Linked DNA regions of Zea mays. The protein of the gene in region 2 binds, or shares a complex with, the protein of the main gene of each other region. Links are inferred from orthologs where the notes say so. Each region holds a gene or a part of one and is shown on either strand. Other genes may lie near its edges. The genes, in order: 50S ribosomal protein L31-like; 50S ribosomal protein L13, chloroplastic-like; 50S ribosomal protein 6, chloroplastic-like.

Region 1 (2,302 bases), about 19 Mb from region 2:
TTTGTAGTCAAAATTTTATAAGTTTGACTCGAACATTATCCAAAACGACAAATAATATAACACCGGAGGGAGTATCTATTTGCTTGTCGCTATCTATTCTTATTTCCGCCACATTTTCTATCAACGTAGGAAATAGAGTGAATCAGAGCTAGTGTATGATATTATCTTCAACGGTTTATTAATAACAAAATAAAATTACTTACTTTTCTTTTGTCTAGATTAAGCCAATAATATTATAGTCATTTTGTTTTATTTTATAGAAATTAGCTTGAATTATATGTTGGTGCTAATTGTTTGTAATGGCATGAGATTTTACAAATATTCTATTCCACCCATATGGCCGTATGTCACGACATGTTTTATATATCATGCAACACATGGACACTCAATTAGTTCAGTCGCATGGAAAAATTGGTTGTATAAAACTATGACTCGGAAATTGGATCACCTAGCAACAGGAGGCTAGTTTGATCAAACAGTATGCGGTATCAGGTTATCAGCAGACGACTCAAGCTGTAGTCAAGCATCAGCGTATACTCCTAGTGAGAAATATCCATTTCCTCGAACCAGGATCATTTGCTTGTTTGATCAATACCATCCTACCCTAGAGTGCATTGCAGAAAGCACATTGTATTTGGGGGCCCATGATCAACAAGACCCTATCTCGTGAAGTAGTAGTAATTGTACATTTTCCATTCCGAACATTAACCGAACACCTGGAGAGCAATGCGAACAGACAGAGTCTCGATTCCATTCAAGAGGGCAAATGTAAACTGGACCGGTGACCACGCACCGGGTGAGGAAGACGGGGAGCCATCAATCAGTTGTCCCCCTCGGGCTCGAACTCCGGGTCGCCGTCTGGGTGCATCTCCCTCCACTGGTCCTCGGGCCAGTACTCCTTGATGTGGCCCCACTTCTTGCGGAACTTCTCGATCTGGCTGTCCATGACCACGAGCGCCGAGGTGTCGCCGACATAGTAGGGGTGGTTTCCGGACCACACGTCCACCGTGTACTCCGGCTTGGTGCCCCCCGTCACCAGCACCAGCTCGCCGTTGCAGTACACCTTCGCGTCCTCGTAGATCTCCGGGTGCAACCCCTTCTTGCGCATCGAGCAGCGCATCCCCTGCACCGCGCCGTCCAGGTTCCGGACTCAGGAATTAGCGGCGGCGACGACGAAGATCCGTGCAGGAATGGCGAGAGGGAGGGCCGGTGTGTACGAACGTGCGTACCTGGGAGGGGACGACGGAGCGTAGGGTGCGGGCGGTGGTCCTCGCGGCGGCGGGGATGGGGAGGAAAGAGGTGGAGAGGGAGAGCGTCATGGCGGACGATGGCCTTGCCTCGCGACAGTCGCTTCGGCTGCCTATGTTCTTTCCTTCCTCTTATCTATCGCCTTGCTAATGTTATCCTCTGGCGCTCGTCGATTCTCTCTTTAGGTAGCGTTGTCTAGGCTTGTTTGGGCTCTATATGTTCATTAAAGTCTGTCTGTGGTTTGTTTTGGGCTACGTGGAAATGCGACGGCCCACGAAAAATCCAGTGCCCAATTTCTCCTTCAGTTATTTCCAGTTGGCGGCCAGCTATACTAAAGAGGTATAGCTATGCGGTTTTTTATTTATCGAAACATTTCGGATCAAAATTCTCTTTCATAGATGTAACGTCGAAGAAAGTACACCACCAGAAATGAAAGTGTTGGTAGATGGTTGGTTGAATTAGTGGGCCAAAAGAAGAGAAAGTTGCATGCCGTGTAGAGTCTGACTTAAATATAATTAAGGAATGATATGCAAACTACAATTACAGTTGTTACGGTTTTCTTAAGAGTATAAAATTAAATAATTTAGAGCAACTCTATTAGAGCAACTCTAGTAGTTCTCCAAAAGATTCCTTAAATCAATAAATAATTTAGGTAGCTAAACTAAAAACTCATCTCCAACAACTCTCTTAAATGAATTTTCTAAATTTAGCTACTTCTCATCTAATCTCAATTTCTCCCTACATTTAGCAACCATTTATCAACTTCCTAAACAAAAAACTGACGATAACTTTTGTATTTTGGTGTTTTTTCACTTTGTAGTAGAGATATATTAACAGAGCACATTCGTCGGACGCCGACGATGTAAAATTGTGGCAGGTAGTCAACTAGAGATTAACCAATTGCCAATGCAATAGCCGCACGTGCACATGTTAGAAATAAACGAATAAACAATTGTGATAGTAAATAAAAAAGCCAACATAACTCACCAATTAAATGTGTCATCACTAATGGTCCTACTCAAACTAGCGTCATGTTAATTAAAATTTAACATAT
Region 2 (3,751 bases):
ACTCACCCCTGCAACGAACCATTTCATGTGTGCTTGGTTTAATGAAGTGGTTCGCTTCACATCTCGTGATCAGCTCAGTTTTCCATACGTTTTGTGGCGGCTAAACATGCATGGATTGAGCATGTTTCCTGTATGCACTCGCAGGGATCTTGTGAATAGTTTGGGTCACACAAGGAAAGTAAAACCTCTTACACAGACAAATTCAGGGTCTTCTACTACTTCGTAACCTTCCTCCCAGTTCATTTGCTGGTAGCCAACTAACCATTGATTTACATATGGTTCTAATCGTCGATACTCGACATCTCTGGTTCACAATTTTGTTGTTGTATATTATCATCTTTGCGTTCTTCCTGCGAGGGAATCCTGGATCTGAACCAGAAACACGTTAAGCTGTTGCTTCACTGCAACGCAATCACACGATGTTGCCACTATATATGTAAAAGATATGCTTTCTTTGGTTAGAAGAGAATGAACACTTTTCTGCCTCCTTTCCGTTTCCTGATGGAACATGTGAAAATGGTGTCCGTTATCAATTAATTCGGCTTCTGCTGCTGATGGTTGTCGCGGAAACTAGCAGCAATGGAAGTTCTGTTCCCGTCATTTTATTTGGACTCGAGAATTTCTCTGATTACCGATGTTTCTAATTGGTACTTGAACAGCGGAATCGTTTGAAAAAAATATGGTCCTGTCTGAAGCTATATTTTGTTAATGCAGCTCCCTTTGCCCAATAGTAATACATTGAATTTCTTTTTTTTAGATGGAATTATGGAACCGCCATTATTCTGAGTTTGGGAAGAGTTTCAAAGGAAGCGTTTAAATCTCAGATGAGCTGATAAGGTGTCGTAATGGGCCAAATCTGCATTTCGTTCTGAGCCCATGAAGCCCATATGTTCTTGTTAACCTTTCCCTGTTCTTTGTCTCCTATCCCCTTATCCGCTTGACGCTCCCCACTGCGCCTAAAAATGGCCGCGTCCCACTGAACCAACCGTCTGCACATCCTCCTCCTGTTGCCGCTCGCTCGCCGTGCCGCAATGGCTACGGCCGTCGCCTCCCATACGTTGCTCTCCTCCGCCTTCGCCCCGCGCCACTACCACCGCCGCCTGACCCGGACCGCGTCCGTGGGGCCGCGCCGGGCCGCCCCGGTGGGACTGGCCGTGCGGTGCGAGAAGAGCGACAAGCAGAAGAGGCAGCCGCTCGCCGCGCTCGTGCCCCGCGAGCAGCGCTTCATGTTCGAGGGAGACGAGCTCTGCGGCCCCGTACGACGCTCTCTCTTCCTCTCTTGAAACAATGTGCACATTTTCACAGCTCGTTTTGCAGGATTGTAACCCTGGACTGACAGTGTCCATCCTATTTTGTTCATGTTTCACCGTGGCCATCTTAATCCACCTCAGAGGCTTCGACTATCCTTTTATGTGCATGATGAAGGGCAATCAAGTTACAATAGAACTGCGTACATTATATATGTTATCTGCCATGTGCCATCATATCCAAAATTACCCATGGGCTGTTTGTGGTGAGAGAGAATTCATTAAAAATGAGCTTAATTGGACATGCAAGTCAAAGTGAACTGATGGTTGCCAACCAGCCTGTTCATAATTGTGACTTGTTTAGGATCAGTTACTAATACTATGGGTACAAAGTGAATGGTTTGTTTGTACTATGCCTTGTTCTTTCTTCTAATGAATTACTCCACAAGTAATTGTGTCTACTGAAATCTGATTCAGTGATTTAATTTGCAGGACATATGGAATACAACCTGGTATCCTAAGGCTGCAGATCATGTAACTACCGAGAAGACATGGTATGTTGTTGATGCAACAGACAAGATCCTAGGCAGGCTAGCATCCACCATTGCAGTACATATCAGGGGAAAGAATGAACCCACTTACACTCCTAGTGTAGACATGGGAGCTTTTGTTATTGTGGTAAGCGTTCTCTCAATACCTATAGTGTTTGGAATCCCTACAGTTAACAGGTAGCCAGCTAACAAATTGTTAGCTGGGTTGAGCCAGCTAATGAACTAATTGTTAACTGTGAGTTAGCTAACAATTAGTTGTGGGTGTTTGGAACCTGTATAGCTAATTTTAGCAGCTAACTATTAGCTGTAGAGGTTCCAAACAGGGCCTTAGTATACATGCTTTACTTCCCTCAGATTATTTGGTACTGAGGTGAGTAACCTTCCTCAAATAATCTTCAACTGTAGTTGTGTTTAATGTTTATGTTAGCATAGTCCTTTTGTGACTGGTGCATCTCTAAAGGCTCATTACCACGTATTCCCTCAGTTCCAAGTTATAAGACTTTTTGGATTTTTTTTGGATCCATTACTTTTGCTACGCACTTAGACATAATTCATGTCCAGATATTTAGTAACAACTATGTATCTAGAATTACCAAAACATCTTATAATTTGGAACAGATGGAGTAGATGATATGCATTATTGTGTTACACTACAATGCTGAGAGTCATTAACAACCTTTTCTATTCACATAGGTCAATGCAGATAAGGTTGCTGTTTCTGGTAAAAAGCGGTCACAAAAGCTTTATAGGAGGCACTCCGGAAGGCCTGGAGGGATGAAAGAAGAAACTTTTGACCAACTTCAGAAAAGAATTCCAGAGAGAATCATTGAACATGCGGTTCGTGGCATGCTCCCCAAGGGAAGGGTAAGAAAAAACATCTACTAGCTGATTGCCTCAGGTCTACATGTTCTCTTTCTCGTTTTAGTGCGCATGTTATAATGTATGCCAAATATGAAAATGACAACCAAATTTCCTGGTGACCTTTATTTTAAGGTCCCAAAAATTACAATTTGGTATTAGTTAGCAGATGTGAATTTTTTCTTTTGAGATTGAGAACTACTATAGTTAATGGTGAGGCCTTGTTCGGTTATTTCAATTCCATGTGGATTGGTGTGTTGGGATGGATTGGGATGGATTTTGACTTGCTATGGATTTAAACCGACTCAATACCACTCAATCCACATGGATTAACGGCGAAACGAACAAGCCCTGAAGTGTATTGCAGTCAGAACATTGCTCATGCATCAGCATGTACCTCCCAGTGAAAGCGTGACATTCAGAATAAATCACAGTACTAAATTCAAGGGAATGTTGTTATTGAACAAAATTAACAAGTCCAGATTGAATTAGTTAATTATCTTGCCGATCTTTTTTTTTCTAAGTTCGCAAAGGTGTGTTGCATGAACTCCATAAAAATTGCCTATTAACCTTTTTCTTGCAAATTGCTTCTTAGTTCAATTGTTTGGTAGTATGGATGCGTTTACTGAAACTCACATTATGGCAGGCAAATATCTTGTTATCTGAAGCATCCCCCCTAACCATTCCATTTTTCTTGTTGATGGCAAATTTGATTTAACTTAGTTTTGTTATGTGCTATATACTTGTTATATTTACATTTATATGCTCACCTTTTTTGCCAATTTGCAGCTGGGAAGAAGATTATTTACCCACCTCAAGGTATACAAAGGGACAGAACATCCGCACGAGGCTCAAAAACCTGTCCCACTCCCGATCAGGGATAAAAGAATACAAAAAACTGGATAGAGAATTCATCGACTGAAAAGGATGCAGTGGCGAATTCCTCCCCAGAAGGTTTTGCCCTTTGTTTGGAATGCTATCCTCATAACCATGCCTCTGATCGGGGAGGGGGGGGGGGGGAGTATAAATCCTCTTTGTAATTTTGATGTTTACCAATGCATGAAATTCAGTCAAATTTCTGTCAATGAGTAGTCA
Region 3 (2,552 bases), on a different chromosome or scaffold from region 2:
CAGATGGTGACCAAGAAATGTGAGCAGACTCCATTTCTCTATTTCTTCTATCGGTCCTGAAGTACTTATTTCTTTTCTGATGGATGGATGAATGGATGATGGTTCATTAATGAGTACTTGCCGATGTGGTGATGTCTGAAATCTAGATAGTTTGTGTTACATGTTAGTACCTAGTTATCCCTTAAGGGCTTGTTCGGTTACACGAATCCAGAAGGGGATTGGAGGGGTTTAAATCCCCTCTTAGGGCTGATTTGGTGACCCGGGATCCCGGGAGGATTGAAGGGGATTGAGGGGAAAATTAGTTTATTTCCCCCTCAATCCCCTCCAATCCTCCCGTGATCACCTTGTCACCAAATCAACTCGGTTGATTTGGTGACAAGGTGATCACGGGAGGATTGGAGGGGATTGAAGGGGAAATGAACTAATTTCCCCCTCAATTCTCTCAAATCCCGCCGTAATCTCTGGTCACCAAATCAGCCCTTATTGGCTAGTTTGGAAACTCACATCCTCTTCGGGATTGAAGGGGATTGGAGAGGAAATTAGTTCATTTCCACCCCAATCCCCTCCAACCCTGAAGGGGATTTGAGGTTCCCAAAGTAGCACTAAGGGTTAGTTTGGAAACTCAAATCCCTTCAAGATTGAAGGGGATTGAAGAGAAAATTAGTTTATTTCTACCTCAATCCCCTCCAATCCCAATGGGGATTTGAGGTTCCCATTGACTAGGAGGGGATTTAATACCCTCCAATCGCCTTCTGGATTGGTGTGCCTGAACATGCGTTAATTGGAGATGGGGACCCATTGGGGACCCAAAACCCGAATGAGGATGAGTATGAGATGAATTTTGCACCCATAATGGGTATGAGGATGGACTAAATATGATAGGAATGAGTTTGGGATGCTATAACCCGATGGAGAATTCTCCATTAACATCTCTAGATGAGTTAGAGATAGCTTTAGAAGTACAAGCTAGTTGTGCCGAAACATTTTTCAACAAAATTCGGGAGACAACTGATCGTTGTACCAAAAGAAATATATTATGTACCCGTGAGCCTCATTTTGTTTTGTTGAAGCTTCATCAACGGCACATCTTAGACCACGGAATTTTATAATATAAAAAGGTGACATGGCATTTTATGATAAGAAGAGGGCAGGGGACTAAACAATTACAAGTTTTTTTTAAAAGAAGTGGAGATATAAAAAAGGAAAAACACTCGATGAGTGAGCGGTCAGATGATCGCACATAGTGTGGGCCAGATTTCGCTCAGCGTAGCAAATCCCGCAATCACAAAACCCAATCCGAAACAGTCCTCCTCCCATCTTATCCCAAACACAACCCACACTACTACCCTACCCGTCCGCCTCTCTCGAAAGCGCAGCACCAGCGAGCATGTCGCCTGTCACCGCACTCCTGGCGGGCACGGTGGTGCCGCCGGCCTCGGCCCCGTCGCCAGCGAGGCACGCCCGCCATTACTCCGTCGGCTTCTCCCCGCTCCACGGCGGCGGGCGCGCGGCGCTGGCGGTGGAGTGCTCGTCGCGGCCGCAGAAGAAGGGGACCAAGCACCACATGAAGACGCGGCCCAAGAAGACGCAGCCGTGGGACATCAAGCGCCGCCCCACGCAGTACCCGCCGCTGCCGCCGCTCCCGCCGGACTGGACGCTCGTCGCCTCCGGCGCCACGGTGGACGTGGAGGAGGCGGAGGCCCCGGCACCCGCCGCGACTCTCGTCCTCGACGTGGCCGCGGCCACCGACTGAGGCCGCCGCGGCGTGTCGCCAAAGTTGTTCCCTTGAACCTCCGCATAAGCTGTTTTTCTTTGAGATTTATTATATAATAACAATGGCTGCCCAGATTTTGTGATTATAAATTAAGAATCTTTCATTGCTGTCCAGATTGTGGCTGTCACCGCGTCCAATTTAGTGCGTTGCTAGATGATTTCTTGGTTGCATGCTGTGTGCAACGCTTATTCCATGCCGTCAGTGGCAGTGCAGACTGCAGAGTGATTAGCTACTCCATCTCCATAGTTTGCCAGTTAAGTTATGATGGGATATGGATTACGCAAATATAGTCTTCAAAAGGGGGGGAAAACAAGCAGCCCAACGAAGACATCTGCCTCTTGTTTGACTTTAGGAGCTGGCTCTGTTTGATTTGGACAATTGCCTGATATTGGGGAAGGTTCGGTAAACAGTAAACTCAGCTTAGATGGCAGGAACAGCCATTGAACACTGCAAATGATAGGAAATTTTAGAAGTAACCTAGTTGTTTGTAATGTTGCTTTTGTTGGAGCATGATTGTGCGAATTCCATATGCTACCTGCCTACCTAGGGATGGCAATGGATACGGGTATGGGTAAATAACCGCGGATAATTATCCATTGGATATGAGTATGGTGGAATTTGATATCCGCGGGTACGGTTATGGATATAATAGGGTATCCGTGGATATTTTTTTCACGGGTATGGATATCCAGTATCCATACCCGTTACCCAATGGATATCTAACACGTGGGCTATCCGGATTTATATATTACCATAAATTCTTATTTTTCAATTTTTA

Evidence for each region.
Region 1: 50S ribosomal protein L13, chloroplastic-like (region 2) and 50S ribosomal protein L31-like share a complex: the UniProt entries of both Arabidopsis thaliana proteins name them as parts of the 50S ribosomal subunit. The link is inferred for Zea mays from reciprocal best matches to the Arabidopsis thaliana genes emb1473 and emb2184.
Region 3: 50S ribosomal protein L13, chloroplastic-like (region 2) and 50S ribosomal protein 6, chloroplastic-like share a complex: the UniProt entries of both Arabidopsis thaliana proteins name them as parts of the 50S ribosomal subunit. The link is inferred for Zea mays from reciprocal best matches to the Arabidopsis thaliana genes emb1473 and PSRP6.

What each region holds. Positions count from the first base shown.
Region 1 is NC_050098.1:221,940,508-221,942,809, reverse strand, and holds 50S ribosomal protein L31-like, read right to left. Parts: upstream 1,378-2,302; 5' UTR 1,320-1,377; coding exon 1,230-1,319; intron 1,124-1,229; coding exon 821-1,123; 3' UTR 528-820; downstream 1-527. UniProt on the Arabidopsis thaliana protein: Binds the 23S rRNA.
Region 2 is NC_050098.1:202,898,004-202,901,754, forward strand, and holds the start of 50S ribosomal protein L13, chloroplastic-like, read left to right. Parts: upstream 1-925; 5' UTR 926-1,031; coding exon 1,032-1,256; intron 1,257-1,739; coding exon 1,740-1,925; intron 1,926-2,491; coding exon 2,492-2,662; intron 2,663-3,445; coding exon 3,446-3,562; 3' UTR 3,563-3,751. Other genes in the region: uncharacterized protein LOC100285659, read left to right, coding at 1-226.
Region 3 is NC_050099.1:216,898,199-216,900,750, reverse strand, and holds 50S ribosomal protein 6, chloroplastic-like, read left to right. Parts: upstream 1-1,315; 5' UTR 1,316-1,387; coding exon 1,388-1,753; 3' UTR 1,754-1,887; downstream 1,888-2,552.